Tribolium castaneum: one gene and its partners. Each later gene encodes a partner of the first gene's protein in a complex. Links are inferred from orthologs where the notes say so. Each region holds a gene or a part of one and is shown in the gene's direction. Other genes may lie near its edges.

The links.
Region 2: Nup214 (region 1) and Nup75 share a complex: the UniProt entries of both Drosophila melanogaster proteins name them as parts of the nuclear pore complex. The link is inferred for Tribolium castaneum from reciprocal best matches to the Drosophila melanogaster genes Nup214 and Nup75.
Region 3: Nup214 (region 1) and PCID2 share a complex: the UniProt entries of both Drosophila melanogaster proteins name them as parts of the nuclear pore complex. The link is inferred for Tribolium castaneum from reciprocal best matches to the Drosophila melanogaster genes Nup214 and PCID2.
Region 4: Nup214 (region 1) and Nup107 share a complex: the UniProt entries of both Drosophila melanogaster proteins name them as parts of the nuclear pore complex. The link is inferred for Tribolium castaneum from reciprocal best matches to the Drosophila melanogaster genes Nup214 and Nup107.

What each region holds. Positions count from the first base shown.
Region 1 is NC_087398.1:6,201,336-6,204,971, reverse strand, and holds the end of Nup214 (nuclear pore complex protein Nup214), read left to right. Parts: coding exon 1-2,998; intron 2,999-3,046; coding exon 3,047-3,074; 3' UTR 3,075-3,136; downstream 3,137-3,636. Other genes in the region: ribosome biogenesis protein WDR12 homolog, read right to left, coding at 3,150-3,636. UniProt on the Drosophila melanogaster protein: Part of the nuclear pore complex. Serves as a docking site in the receptor-mediated import of substrates across the nuclear pore complex including emb, RanGAP and phosphorylated Mad. Protects mbo/Nup88 from proteasomal degradation at the nuclear pore.
Region 2 is NC_087399.1:876,572-880,887, forward strand, and holds Nup75 (nuclear pore complex protein Nup85), read left to right. Parts: upstream 1-1,508; 5' UTR 1,509-1,617; coding exon 1,618-1,641; exon of another isoform or gene 1,642-1,686; coding exon 1,687-2,128; exon of another isoform or gene 2,129-2,348; coding exon 2,349-2,602; exon of another isoform or gene 2,603-2,648; coding exon 2,649-2,771; exon of another isoform or gene 2,772-2,825; coding exon 2,826-3,044; exon of another isoform or gene 3,045-3,177; coding exon 3,178-3,293; exon of another isoform or gene 3,294-3,343; coding exon 3,344-3,880; exon of another isoform or gene 3,881-3,933; coding exon 3,934-4,138; 3' UTR 4,139-4,188; downstream 4,189-4,316. Other genes in the region: mRpS23 (small ribosomal subunit protein mS23), read left to right, coding at 1-28; uncharacterized protein LOC660898, read left to right, coding at 59-423, 644-887, 937-1,373, 1,419-1,506; oxidized purine nucleoside triphosphate hydrolase, read right to left, coding at 4,194-4,316. UniProt on the Drosophila melanogaster protein: Component of the nuclear pore complex (NPC) that seems to be required for NPC assembly and maintenance. Required for nuclear import of phosphorylated Mad via importin msk.
Region 3 is NC_087397.1:8,459,980-8,463,192, reverse strand, and holds PCID2 (PCI domain-containing protein 2), read left to right. Parts: upstream 1-1,186; 5' UTR 1,187-1,341; intron 1,342-1,407; 5' UTR 1,408-1,419; coding exon 1,420-2,616; 3' UTR 2,617-2,705; downstream 2,706-3,213. UniProt on the Drosophila melanogaster protein: Required for the export of nuclear mRNAs and involved in mRNA trafficking in the cytoplasm.
Region 4 is NC_087395.1:26,509,796-26,514,109, forward strand, and holds the start of Nup107 (nuclear pore complex protein Nup107), read left to right. Parts: upstream 1-1,506; 5' UTR 1,507-1,596; coding exon 1,597-2,460; intron 2,461-2,510; coding exon 2,511-2,672; intron 2,673-2,912; coding exon 2,913-3,373; intron 3,374-3,649; coding exon 3,650-4,314. Other genes in the region: sodium-coupled monocarboxylate transporter 1, read left to right, coding at 1-190. UniProt on the Drosophila melanogaster protein: Plays a role in nuclear pore complex (NPC) assembly and maintenance. Required for nuclear import of Mad. Mediates the association between the nuclear pore complex and a subset of active chromatin regions adjacent to lamin-associated domains.

The sequences.
Region 1 (3,636 bases):
TCCAAGATTTGCGGACTTTTCTCCAAAAAAGAGAATATCCACATATTTCATTCGTGAAGCCTCAATTGGCCAGTTCCGTAATCCAAACTCCGCCAAAACAACTTAGTCGGCTTCCCGAAAAAACTTCAGTTGCACCTCGGGTTCTCGATTTTGCGCAGTCAACTCCCAAACCCACTGTGCTCAAATTCGACTCCACGGCAACTCCAATCGAAGGTTTACAAAATTTAGCCCTTAAATTCGAGGCTAAAAATTTCACAAATTTGCCCGAGAAAACTTTCACGCCTTTGACTAAAAACGTGATTGCTGGGTCTCCAAATTCGGCTTTTGTCTCAACTTCGGTTTCTGCATCAGCAAATACTTACAAACCCACCTTCATGGCTGCAACTACAGCCGTGACAGCGTCTATTATTAAAACAAGTCCCAGTTTTGTGGCAGTGACTAGTACTGCAACCATGCAAGCACCTAAATCGTTTGTTAATTTGTCTTCCCAACCAGTTACTAGCAGTACCCCAAAGGTGGGGACAAACCTCTTTGCCACATCTTTGCCTAAAACTACATTTTCGTTCAGTTTACAAACTACTAGTGCGGCGCCCATTTTAACAAGTAGTGCAGCGACTACCAAACCCAGTACGTCTATTTCTGTTTTTAATCTATCCACGAGTGTTAGTACTACCGCGGAAAGTACGATTTTTACGAAAACTTCTACTCCGTCATTTGGTATTGCTACCACCACAGCACCAACCTCCACCCAGTTTTCGTTCGGTGGCGCTACTAATACTTCAAGTATTTTCGGTGCAGCAACACAAAAAGTGACCGAAGCTGCGACATCGAAAACCTTTACGTTTTCTACAAAGCCAGTAGTTACTTCTGCAACAAGTACTCCAAATGTGGTGGTTTCTGCCGTTTCCCCCGTTGCTAGCAGTACCCAACGTTCAATTTTCCCTACGACTTCTGTAACAACCAGTCCTAAAACAACGCAAGCTGTCTCGAGTCCAGTCTCAATCCAACCCACTTTTGGTGTAACAGCTCCAAATTCAGTTAGTACTACCAGTGGCACTCCATCAACTCAGTCCTCACCGTTTTCATTGGGGGCACTTAAATCATCTATTTTTCCCTCACCGGCTGTTCCTGCCGTAACTACAACACCGAAAATCGCCACCAGTGCGGCCACTGTTGTTACTACAGCTGTTACAACTACCGGTGTTACAGCTCCTGTTGTTACAACAGTCCCATCTTCAACTAGTATTTTCTCAACGCCAGCAACAACTCCATCAATTTTCGCTTCGCCAGCAACAACTTCAACAATTTTCTCTTCGCCAGCAACAACGTCATCAATTTTCTCTTCGCCAGCAACAACTTCATCAATTTTCTCTTCGCCAGCGACAACTTCATCAATTTTCGGCTCTATTGTTAGTAGTACTACTCAGTCTCCAACCATATCTTCAGCTCCGCCCACAACTGGGTTTTTCGGTGGTGCTCTTTCAACTAAACCACTCTTTGGTGGTACCGAAGTTAGCGCCTCGAAACCGTCAATATTTAGCAGCACAACTGCATCAAGTGTTTTTGGGGCTGTTGCAACCACGGATTCAAACGTTTCGAAACCATCCATCTTCGGAGCCCTGCCATCATCCTCCACTACAGCTTCTGTCTTTGGTACTGTTGCAAGTACCGATAGTAATGTATCAAAGCCGTCAATTTTTGGCAATGTTTCGTCAAGTACTTCACCAGCGACTGTTTTTGGCGCTACCACACCTACCACTCAGATTTTTGGTGGTGCTACCCCTTTGTCTACTAGTTCATTTGGGGCTGCAGCTACGACACAATCGTCAATTTTCGGCTCTCCCACTACCCCAGTTTTTGGAACTCCTGTTGGTACCACTCAGTCGACTTTTGCCAGTCCTACAACGACAACTCAATCTCAAGGGTTCGGTCTTTTTGGAGACGCCGCCCAAAAGCCTTCCCTATTTAATGCAAAACCAAATGCGACTCAACCGTCAATATTCGGAAGCACACAGCCGTCGATATTTGGTGGTACCACAACTTCTTCAACGTTCGGCCAAAGCCAGCCCTTCGATGGGAGCAAAAATACAAGCGCTTTTGGTCAAGGTTCTGTTTTTGGTTCGTCAGGTAGTACGAACGTTTTCGGGGGTTCAGCACCCGCTTTTGGCCAAACGGGTGGTTCCGTCTTTGGAAATGCACCAACTACGAGCTCTGGGAGCATTTTTGGGGCAACGACTACAAGCGGAGGTACTTTCGGTACTAGTGGATCTTTATTCGGAGCACCTGCGTCCACTGCCCCCTCACTTTTTGGGGCACCTGCATCTACGACTCCCTCTATTTTCGGTTCGTCGAATGTCTTCGCCCCTGCCACTACTCAGTCCGGTACTTTCGGCACCAATACCAGTTCCGGAACGTTCGGTTTCGGAAGTCTCAATGTTTCAACGACTGCAAGTTCGGGTTTCGGTGCACCTGCGAACCCCTTCGGGGGCGATAAGAGCGTTTTCGGAGCCTCTCCAGTGTCGTCAAGTGGCTCAGTTTTCGGTTCCAGTGGTGGATCGCTCTTCAGTAACACGTCCCAGAGTTTTGGTACCGGTTTCGGGAACCAATCTTCCTTCGGCCAACAGTCGTCCTTCTTCGGGGGTAGCAGTTTCGGTCAGCAACCTGCGGGGCCCTTCAGTGGTGGGAGTGGAACTGTGGGACAAACCGGGTTTGGGGCAGGTCAGAGCTTCCAAAAACCGGGATTTGGGGCAGCTCCCGTTTTCGGGGGATCGCCCAGTTTCGGGAGTTCGCCTAGTTTTGGAGGAGCGCCGGCGTTTGGCAGCCCACCGGCTTTTGGGAATACTTCAAAGGTGTTTGGGTCCTCAAGCCCCGGGTTTGGGGCAGCTGCTAGTACCCAGAACACAGCTTTTGGTAATTTAGCCAATCAACCAACAGTAGGGTTTGGGAATTTGGCACAGCAAGCTGCCAACGCCCCAGCGCAGAGTGCGCCGTTCTCTGGGTAAGAATTTTTAAACTGATAAATGGCATAGTACATTTTTTTTTGTAGGAGCTCCTCATTCTCCAGTTGGCGTTAATGAAGGAAAATGTTTTACGTTAAATTTTGTAAGCTGAAACTAATAAATTTTTTTAAAATTAATTTTATTTTTCACTTAAAACACATAATTATTTCTGAAAATGTGTACACTATTGTCGCACCCTCCAGAGACCAGATACTTGTTATTGGACCAATCTACAGCTAGGACTTGCCCTTGGTGTCCCTCTAAATTATAAAGTGGGGCTTTAGGGCTTCTGGAATCCCACAATTTGACACCAGAATCGTATCCTCCCGACATAAAAAGGTGTTCATCGTATTTTGACCATTCAATTGAACTGACCCATAGCGTATGTGAGGTGAAAGTAGTCTTGACCACTGAACCCTCTGAAGACCTTGGGTCGTACAACCGAATATGTCTATCAGCTGAACATGCTAATAATGTGTTAGATAGGGAAGACCAAGAAGAATCCAAAAATGCCTTCTGGCCAACTATTTCATTCTTGATACCACACAACTCAGCATCCCAAAATTTAATCGTATGGTCCATTGACACAGTGCAAATTACATGGTTGTCAATCCAGGAAGTCGAAGTTATGGTTTCT
Region 2 (4,316 bases), on another chromosome or scaffold:
CAATGTTGTTGATATATTTAAATCGTAGTATTTTTTTGTTAAAATCTAGTCTTAATAAATGTTTTTTGTGACACTTTGTTTTATTTTACGTCAAATTAAAATGGGTAAAAAATTGAGTCGTCCACGAGGTAGCGAACAAAGCACTTATTCCCATATTTTTTATACCGGGAGTATCGAAACTATTCCACCATCAATCACCTATCCTTCGATATGTACTTCCCCCTCGTTTCATTTGTCTGAAAAGCCTTCGGTGTCGAAGTGTGACAGTGAATTGATTCATTACGGCGAACTGCAGAGTATGTACATCAAGTCTCAGACTTTCACAGCTGATCATTTGGCCCCCTTGACCATCAGAACCTCACAGTTAGTGCTGTCGCTTCTGAAGAGGCATTTGGGGCAAATTGTTAGCGACATCCACGCAGGGTACTGTTTTATTTAATTTAATTTTTTTGCCTATTCAAAAAATTCATAACTCAAAAACTAAAATTCGTAGAACAAAACGGTTTATTCCAGTGAATTCAGCGACTCATTTTACGTATCATATGTTTTTTTTACAACACTAGCTTACTCCAGAACGTATTTAAACACTTATTTGAATTTGAAAAATGGTGGATGCGCCGGGTTATTTTCTATTTTTTGGCAGGACATTGAAAATGCCTGATAAAGTGGTAGAAAAGTTTGGGGCTGCAAGTGCCCGGAACCCGAATCAGCAAACAGACACATATACTATCCAAAGACGAATGATCACTCATTTCGTCTCGTTACTTCACGTTCATGAAATGGTTTTAACTTATCTCAAACAGAGACGCATCGAACAAGCGCTCGATTTAATCAAACAAATTGCAGTTAGCCACGCACTTAAGGGAATCACAGTGACTGAATTTCGGGTAAGTCCCGATAATTCTCTAACTTGTTTTGGCAAAATACGACTTGCAGTTAGTGGACTGGTTTATTGTCAATTATTTGATAAAAAATAAAGTAAGCACTGACGAGAACATAAACCACTTGATGCTTTACTTAAGCACCCTTTCAAATTACATTGTGCGATATTTCGAAAGTCAAAGTGTTCGCCATACGATGCTCCGGGACATGACTAGTGTGAAAGTAAACGATCGGAGCAACAAAGCAAGGGAAAACTACCGTTTAATGAAACAGTGGACCTCCAGAATTGAACATTCCAGAGGCCAAATTAAGGATCTAATTGACAAGCTCCTCGCAGATCAAGCCCGCATGCAGGAAGCCAGAGAGGCAGAAATTAGGAGCATTGACACTCAAACGCTCAAAGAAAAAGACTTCATTATGCGATTTTTCGTACGCAAGAAACCGACAGAATCGCGCTCAACGTCACACTCGCACCAGGAGAAGGCCTCAACGTGAGTATCACCCCAATATAACAAATTCAAAATACCCGCCCACAGGATTGACGGCGAAGTTAAATCCCTACCGTTACCGTTCTCGCTACCAACCCAAAACGAAAGTAACCCTAGTAACCGAACAGATTTCTAAATTACCGACCCGGCTAACCGCTCTCCTCAAACAAAATTCGAAAAAAATACGGTTTTTTTGAATGAAAAGGCGCAAAATTTCGTGTTATTTAACGCTTCCCGACCCGTATTAATGGACAATACCGCCAAAACTTTCGTAAGCAGCGATCAATTTTTGAGGTTAGGTCATAATAACTTGTAGGTTATTCCAAATGAGTTATGCCGACGTGCTGGAGTGGCGGCTTCGTGGCTTTCCGTCAACGAATTCGGTGTTTTCGGCCACCAGAAAACACCAAAAGTTGATAAACCGAGTCACTTTGCCCCCTCGGACGCCTCTGTGTTTCAGCTGCGCCCCGACATTATTCTCTTCAAACCAATTTTACGCAAATTGGTAAATGAGGCCAACGGGACGTTTCTAACCCTTCAAGCCCTTGTAGCCACTGAGGGCGACCACAAGGCCGAATTATTGAAACTTAGCCGGCAGTACAGGTCCATAATAAGGGCCTGTTTGGAGAATTTGCAAGACGAGGTGATGCGAGCCGATGGCGATTATCGCGAAGAATTGCAAAATTACATTACGATTTTTTACTCAGTTGAGTGTATTTGGCACTTGTGTGAAATCTTATTTGTTGATGCGGTCCCAGGTGGGTTAGTGACACGGATATCTAAAAGCTAGGATGCGAAACGACGTACAAATAAAACGTCCTGAACTCGGTAGTTTTATCGTTAACTATATTTAAAAAAAATTCCGGACTTTTTTAGGTTCAGAAAATCCGGTAATTTCGTACATCGTTTCCTCCTAAGTTATAGACCTCTGTAGTGACACAAAATTTGGGGATTTTTGCCAAACAGTTGGGGTTTTAGGCAACATTGTTTTGCCCCACTTACTGGACTGGATTCGGTTTCATTTTCCGAAATATGACCGAAATGCGGCAAGTATGTTGGCTGGGGATTTGGGTGGTTTGGAGTCACACCCTGACTATTGGGAAACTGTCATTGGGTCACTATTACAAGGGCGGGTCAAGGTCGTTAGGGCCCTACTTAAATTACACTCAGAAGCTGAGTCACAACCTTTCAGAATTGTGGATCAGTGTCTGAGAGCAATGCCGGTTTATAACGTAAGTAGGCTGGGAGAAATTGACAGGTGTTCATGGCCGACTTTAGATGTTTAGTGGGACTTCAATCGCTGAATTTAATCTACAATGGAATCATTGGGTCGTGGATGTTCAATCGAAAATTGATGCGAAAATGTTTATTTCTTGTTATAATCTCAATTTGATTATGAAGGTTTTGTTTTAAGTGTGTTTGAGTTGGTAGTTTTCTTTATAAGATTTTTTGTAGCTTACGGTTGGTAACGAAATTGCATGGGGGGAAATACAGCAGTATTGCGAGACGTGGTATGAAATGTTAGCCGCGTGGTTATTTTTTACCCAACCTACTGTTAAATCGTTTGAGTTGGGACAGTTTGCCAAACAGTGTATCACGAAAATGTCCATAGGGAATAGAATTAAGCATTTGGATAGGATGTTGTTGGCAGCAATGGAGTTTGATATTTTACAGGTAATATGGCGCCACCTCTGTTAAGTTATTAAATAAAACTGAGACTTTTGAATAATCCTGTATTTTTCGGCTATACTTTTAGTTTTACACTTTTTTGCAAATGTACACATAAATTCTAACATTTCTTTGCCAGGTGATTAAAGAAATCCAAAATATGACAGACAGTGGCTGGTTTGTGAGCCACTTAACCGACCTACTTTACCATTCAGGCCGTCTAAGCGACACAACTATCGAAACTATTGAAAATTTGTGAGTCCCCGATTTTTTTTAAACCGTTTATTTTACAATTATTATTTCAGCCACCCTGATAAATTGCGCGAGTCATTTTTAATCGATTATGGCTCGCTTTTAATGGGCCATAAGTCACTATGGCAGGTCGGTTTAAGCTACTTGGACCACTGTCCCAGCGATGGCCCTGAAGTCACAAAATTACTACTTGCAAGACTGCCTCTAAATTCCGAAATGCGGGCTGAGAAAATTGTGAGAGAGGCTCTGAACCGGAATTTAACCGAAACGGCACAAAGTATTTGTAAAGTGCAAGGAATGGCTTGTAAAAACCGGGGGCGTCTGGGACACGCCCTCGCCTGGGCCCTCAAATCACAAGACGGCACTTTTGTGTCGTTTTTATCGAACAAATTTCTGCGAGAGTATGCCGAAAGTGGCGATTTGAACAGTATTGATCTTTTGGATAATCTCGGATCGTGTATTTTGGCAAGCGATAGGTTGATGTTTTTAGGCAAATATTACGAATTCCAGAAGTTATATCAAGCGAACGAGTACAAAGAAGCCGCCAATTTGCTCGTTTCGTTACTTGAGTCGAAAATAATACCAAACTTGTAAGGGGAAAACACTTAAAATTGCGGTTTTTTATCTAAAGATTATCTTGTAGTTTCTGGAGTATTCTATTAACTGACGCAATACCGCTACTTGAGTGCGAAAAAATGGTTTTTTCCTCAACTGATACCTACATCATTATGCAGTGTTTGGAAGAGCAGGAAAAAACCAAAGACTTGAAAGACAAACTTCCGATCTTGAGACTGTCAGCGACCCGGAATTTAGCACGAGCTTTGGTACACGAAGCCCAATTAAAATGATGATTTTTTTAACAATTTTTTATTAAATAAATACTTTACGTAAACAATAATACTTTTAATTGGCCACTTTAAGTGCACTCGCCAAGTCCTCAAATTCCTCAATTTTCGTATCAGTGATTGTGTCAGGGTCACTGTAAGTCACTCTGGCCGCAAAAAATTTCTCTTTTAACATAAGGGG
Region 3 (3,213 bases), on another chromosome or scaffold:
AGATGTGAACACAAATTTGCTTTATATTAATTTTTGAATTTTTTTACATAAACGTCTTTTTTACAGTGAAGGCTATTCCAAATCAAAAAAAAAACTTTCGGATTTAAATTCAGCTAAAAAAATTACATCAGAATCATATTTCAGTAAACGTGTCAATTCTGTTAAATAGTTCTTTATTTTTGATTCTTTTTTAAGTTGTTAATAATTACGTTGCATTTCTCAAACTATCATAATCATTAATCACACAGACATTCAAGATATAGAATATTGCTTTTTTATATTGTTTTATTTTAAAATTATAAAATGTAGATATAGAAAAAATAACTTTTTATGGTACATAATAAGGCATACTAAAAGTATTTAAAGCAAATTTGGAATTCTGTGTAATTATTTAGCTTGTCATGCAGTAAAAATATACTTTTGCTGGGACACCCTGTAAAATTTGTTTTTAAATTTTATAGATGAACATAAAAACCTTTTATATGCTTTTGTACGGTCATCATTTAAAACATAACTTGTTTGTAATTTAAACGTCGTCTACCTACTTATACTTATAAGTTTTTTTTTGTAAAATATGGTTTTGTTTTTTAAGTAGCACTATACAAACAAATACTTTTAAGTTCGTAATGTGTAGCTTTAGTTTCTAATAAACAGTACTTAATTTTTTTGTTTCATAAGGAGCTAAAAGTAAACTACAATTAACGTTTAAATTGCTTATTATACTGATTTATGGGTCTGGCACGTGAAGCATTATTAAAGTTTAAAATAGCAAAGAAGTAAATAATTTCTTTCCATAAATTCCATTACTAGGCGCTTTAAATTCATTATTGTTGAAGTTATTACTTTCCTGTGTAATGGATTTTTAAATTATGATTTATCCTTGACTAGAATAATAAAACGTTTTCACGACTGTGTTTATAATTTCCTAAAAATTTTTTAATAAAATCAAGTTGGATAAGTTCCCGGTCAAGTTGCATCAAGCTGTTCCTCGGAGCGCCATCTCTGTGTGGGAAGAAAACATGCGGCTTGCGAACTGGTCTACGAACAGTTTTCGTTTTTATGGCATTTTACTTCCAGGATTTGCATTAATTTAATCCCTATTATTAGTACTATGGGACATATAACACGAATTAAGCTCAAATATCTTAAATTTTGTTAGGTCACAGAAATTATTATTGATTTTACTTGTATGAATCGCACCGCTCCCTATCGGCCATTTTATCACCATTGCAAAGACTTGTTTATTTTCAAGCTTATTCAAACATTTTTTCGTCAAACTCGTAAGACATAATGTTCTTTGCGTAACGGAAGCAACAAATATAACACTTGTGCCTAAATCACGTGAGTAACAGTTCAATTTCATTTATAAATGAAGCGGTTTCGGTTAACTGACGCCCCTAACCTTAGTTTTTCAGCAAAATGACTTTTATGTCCGTTGCTCATTACCTACAACTTGTGGAAAGGTATTGGCGGTCTCAGGACGGTGCAAAAGTGGCCAGTTTTCTGTCTCTTCGCCACGAACATGCAGGTTATGCCAATTACCACATTGAGAGTCCTGAGGGAATAGTTGAGCGTTTTTTGACCGCCCCTATCGACGAATTAGTGATTTTGCACCTAAAATGCCTGTTTGCCATAAGCCAGAGTGACTATCTATCGGCTTATAACATTCAGAGCAATTTGACGCAAACTTTCACTAAGATCTTGCAATCGCAAAAGGAGGAGAATTGGTCTTTGCCTATTATGTATGTCTTGTGCTTAGACTTGCGTCTTTTGGCGCAATTAGCCGAGAATCAGAGGAGCGGAATTAATGAGAAGCCCGGCGAAATGCTCGAGAAGGCAGCAGAATGCTTGATGGGTTGTTTCAGGGTGTGTGCTGCTGATAATAGGTCAGCAGAGGAGGATACAAAGAGGATAGGGATGTTGGCTTTGGTGAATCAATTGTTTAAGGTTTATTTTCGGATAAATAAGCTACATTTGTGCAAGCCCTTAATCAGAGCGATTGAGTCATCACCGTTTAAAGAGAGTTTTTCTCTGAGCCAACAAATCACATATCGGTATTTTGTGGGGCGCAAGGCTATGTTTGATAGCGATTATAAAGTCGCCGATGAGTATTTAACTTATGCTTTTGAAAATTGTCACAAGCTCAGTAAGAAGAACAAAACGCTTATATTGATTTACTTAGTTCCTGTGAAAATGTTGTTGGGGTATATCCCAAGCAAGGAGGTTCTGGAGAAGTATGACGTCATCCAGTTGTGGGATTTAGTACAAGCTGTATGTCAGGGTAATCTCAAAGCGTTTGACGAGATTATGGAAAAGCACGAAACCTTTTTCATCAAGTGTGGAATATATCTGATTGTTGATAAACTGAAAATCATAGCATATAGAAATTTGTTTAAAAAGGTGTATTTGATTCTAAATACGCATCAAATCCCTATTGAAGCACTGCAGACTGCTTTAGTGTATTTAGGACAGACTGATGTTGATTTGGATGAAACAGAATGTATTGTTGCTAATCTTATTTATGAAGGGAAAATTAAAGGATACATTTCGCATCAACATAGGAAGGTTGTTGTTAGTAAACAGAATCCATTTCCGCCACTTACAAGTCTATCATAATTAAGTTTTTATAAGTTTGTATAATTCGTCGTTCTCTACCTGCATTGTAACTATTTTGTAATTGCATATGAAATAAACTGTTAAAACTACCCGTTTTTTGTGTTTTATTAAAGCATAAACGTAACGTCTATAAATCTCTATACTGCGAAGTGACTAAGCGACCCTGCTGTCATAAGAAAAAAGCTAAATGTTGTATGCATAATAAAAACCGCATTAAAAATGTTTATGGAATTTTTATTTTATTAAAAATTGCTTTTGTTATTCGAAGAGGTCACAACTACAGTTGTTTTTTTTTAAATTGCTCAGATTTAATCTCGATACGAATCGTTTTGAAAATCAATAATGCATATTAAATCACCTAATGATTATGCCCATATAGGTAAAAAATATTCGTTTAAGCTTTACATAATAGATACGAAGTTAATACCGAATACATCCTTTAAATGTACTGTAAATATTATATTACATATTGCGAAATTTTGCACAAAAGGATTTATTTTCCCATAGGTAACTTTGTTACCCGAAAATTAAACTCATACATTTTATATGGAAATTTTATCATAGTCAAAAACTATTTAGTTTTTTATTATAAATTAT
Region 4 (4,314 bases), on another chromosome or scaffold:
TCGCAAGATGGCCAACTTTTTCCCTGGCAAAAAACGACGCTACGCAGAGAAAACCATCAAACATAAAACACGGAGAAATGAATCGATGAACCATTCGCCAAGTGCCACCAGTATGGATAAAAAGAGCGGAAATGCGAATCCCGCTTTCACTCAAGACGTACAAATGGAAGTGTACAGAACCAAATTATGATTTTTCTTTCTTCCTAGAGATGGATGTGAGAAATGGACACGGACTCGTGTTTTTAGTGCCTTTTATTTGGCAACATCTGTGATCTCTAGCTGATAAGATACAAGTGTTCGATTGTTGAATTATGCAAAGACTACTTAACTATTTTTATACCTTATTACATTGTTATTATTGAATAAGATTGTACAACTTGATACGCGTACGTGTTGAAATATTTATTTTCTTTTGTAAGCTTAGACTAGTGCTAACAACGAGTATTTATTACAACATTTTAGTACAATAATATTTAATTAATAATAAGCGTAGTGTTTGTTCAAAGAGTTTAAGCTACCAACGAAAATATAATATAAATAAAAAAAATTTTGTGGATTTTTGCCTCCTTTAAATGCCTACAACCGAAGTTATTGACAAAAAAAAACGCTCCAAGTACTGAAAAGTCGCCCAATATTTCCAGAATCTTAAGTCAATGAATTTCCGAAAATACAAATACATACCACTAATGTGCAGTAATCTAATTTTTGTTGAAAAGCGTACAATTTACCTCACTTTGTGCTTAAAATGTACTTTTCCTAACCACAAATGAATTGACAAATATTTGGAAAGTGATGTTTTTTACAAGTTTTCAAGAAAACTTGCTTTTTCACCAATTTCCAAAAATAATGCCCACAATAATGTGCAATAATCTAATATTTTGTTGAAAAACATGCAAGTTACCTTACTTTGTGCTTGAAACTTCCAAATTAACACTGAACTTCTAAACTAACACTTAACACTTCATTCTTCCAAATCCTGATTGTCACAGTAACTGAATTTAGGAATATCCGGGGAAAAACTGGTGTTTTTTTTCCACAATTTATAAAAAAAACGTAATTAAGGTAACTTTTTCACAAATTTTTCATAAATGTAGACAAAAAAGATCCGGGCACACACGAGAGACGCGATAATGGAAAAAGTGTTGCCAACCAAATTCACTGAATTTCCGAAAATAGTACCAATAATGTGCTATAATGTTAAATTTTGTTAAAAAAACATGCACCTTACCTTACTTTGTCACTGGAATCACCAAATTATGTAAAAATTACACTTAACACTAAGTAACATCATTTTTCCAAATTCAGTATTCACACATGATTTACAAATTTTTGAAAAAAACCGGTGTTTCCTACCACAATTTATAAATTGAACTTAATTAAGTTACGTAATTCAACACTTTTTTCACCAATTTTCCTTCAATTTGAACAAAAAACACGATAAACACAAACAGACGCGATAATTTGAAACAAATGACGATCGAGGAAAAGAAAAACTGTTACCAACCTGAATCTAGGGACTTTGCAACGCTCTGAGGCAACGCTAGACTTGTTTTTTGAGGTTATGCAACGGCTTTTTGTGTGTGTTTTTTATTAAAAATGGATAATGATTTGGAACGGTCGGTGCGTCTTCTCGAAGACGCTCTCCAGACCCCCACAAAAGGGCTATTTAAGGTCTCGACCGCAACTCCAAAGCGTGAAAAACCTAACCTCAGCTTTACAATAAACCCCGAAGACTTAACCGGCCTGGAATATGGAAGTGTTTATCAAAACACCTTGTCTTTATTTGTCGATGATGACAAAACGGTCACCGGGTCGGTGATCCAAGCAGGAACTCCATGGAAAAACACTGTTAATAATTTATATACAGAGTTTGCGGATATCCTGCAGGGGTCCACCGGAGGCCTTGATATCCTGGACGTGGCCGAAGACTTGGCGAGGTGTTGTAGTGACGCTTTGGCGGTGGTTAAGTCACTGAAAGCCAAAGTGGCCACTAGTGAATTAGCCGAAGAGAAATGGCTCGAAAATGAGCGGAATAATTGGAGACTGCTGTATGTCCTGTACCAGGATCGGATCCAGGCCCAGAACCACAGTAAGGAAGGGTTTGAGGAGGATTTCGGGAGCAGTGAAAAGAACTGTGTGTGCGAACTGTTCAAACGAGAGAATTTGGTTAGGGAAAGCCAGTTGGTGATCGATTGGCTCGAGAGGAACGCTCTGGAGAAGGGGGACCCCATTTTAATGCACTCAGACTGGACGTATGGATGGGAACACACTTTGCATCAATTGCTAGCACCTGATGCTATTGCAATTGGGAGTAATGTGGATATTATCAAGAACATACATCCAGATGCGCCACAGTTTCAGCGCTTATCGCTGCACCACTTGGATTACGACAATGACAAAAAACTATGTCAGAGAATTTTTATGGAAATTAGGTGCGGCAACCTTGAGGGCGCCCAGGAAGTTTGTGCTGTTTTCAGCCTTTTATTATTTATTCAATAATTAAATTTCAGTTATGTTACAACAGTGGTTATCCATGGCGCGCTGCGATGTTAGAAGGCTGGAAGCTTTTTCATAATCCCAACCTGGAAACAAGTCTTGAAGAGTATAAAGACGTAGAAGGGAACCAAAGGCGGGATTTGTGGAAATCTTGCGCATTAGATTATTGTCATAGGGTAAGTTTTTCGTTCCACAGCCTCTTTGACAGTTCGGGAACTTCGCTATCTTTTTTTTTGATACCATTGTTACTAGATAAACCGATGTCACTTTGGCAGTTGTAAAACATGTATTTATTTTATGTTTATTTATTTAAAATTTCTGGAAAATAATTAACCAAATTTAGGACTGAAGACGAAGTTTCGTATCTATCAAGGAGGCTGTTTTATAAATTTGAAAAAACTACTAAAAAATTTCAGTCAAACTTGAACATTTATGAAAAAGCCGCCATTGGTAGTCTTTGTGGTTTCTTGGAGGGCATTTTGCCCGTTTGTACCACATGGGAGGACCACCTGTGGGCCTACATGCGAACCATGGTCGATATTCGTGTTGAATCGGAAATTCGCGACTCAATCATTAAAAACTACATACCACTACCTGAAGAATATTGGGAACAAAAGAAATCATTAAGTGAAATTTTTACAATTTTGGAAGCCTCGAAAAATATTGACATTGCAAAAGAAGCGCATGAAATTGATCATGTAATTCAGAAACTTGTCATTTTAGACGAAATTCCCACACTGATACGCCTCCTAGATCAGTGGAGTGAAGATCTAAGTGTTACGACACAATCTCTTCGATTTTATGCTCACTTAGTTTTGTTTTTTGAAAGCGTCGGAGACTCCACTCATAGAAAAACGTGTGAAAAAATCGTCGAAACGTAAGTTTTCTTGGTTGTATAACTCGACTTAAGGCCGGGCGCTTTAGTCTCCCGGTATGGTGACTATAAAAAAATTTGTGTCTAGTGTATTTTATGTTCTTAATGTTGACCATAATCTCGTCAGAACTAAATTATTGCTTTTAATATTTTTACCACTTTTTTATAGCTACGGTATTATTTTTTGTTTTATTTGACTTCGAGCTTCTATAAAAAAACATAAAGTGTTTGCTACTCACCGCTGCGTTGCTTGTGTTTTAATATCATTTGTTTAATTAGATATATCGAGCGTTTGAGCGAAATGAACGAAACCCAGCTTGTGGCCTTCTACGTGAGCAAGCTGGGAAAATCCAAACAAATCCAACTTTACGCCAAACACTGCGAAAAACTGCTTTCGACTGAGCAACGCAAAAACGCCCTTACTTACGCTGAAGATTTCAGTTTGGACGTATTTGCTATAACGCAACAAATCGTCGAAATTATAACAAGCCGACCGTCTGAATCCGAACTTCCCGGTAATCTCCAAGGTAAAATCACCGAAATCGACGAACTCAAAATCTCCGCTATTGATTGGCTGATGTTTTACGAGGAGCAACGAGCCGAAGCATTGGCTCAAACCAATTCTATTATTTTCAAATTTCTGATTTTGGGCAAATTAGAAGCAGCCCAATTGGCAATCAATAAAATTCCTTACGATTCTATAGAGAAGATACGCAGCGAAGAGCAGATTCATCAGATTGTTAAGAATTATTTGAGTTATAAAGCGTATTTGGATGCACATGAGGCGTTTAACGAGTGGTTTAGACAGTATAGGAATAAGCCGATGCCACCACCTGAACTGCCCGAAAATGCACAATTTACTGAAAAAGTTGCTCATAATCATAAAGTCTCGCAGTTTAATGCCGAAGCGGAACGGTGGAAATTGACGACATCGCATTCAGCAA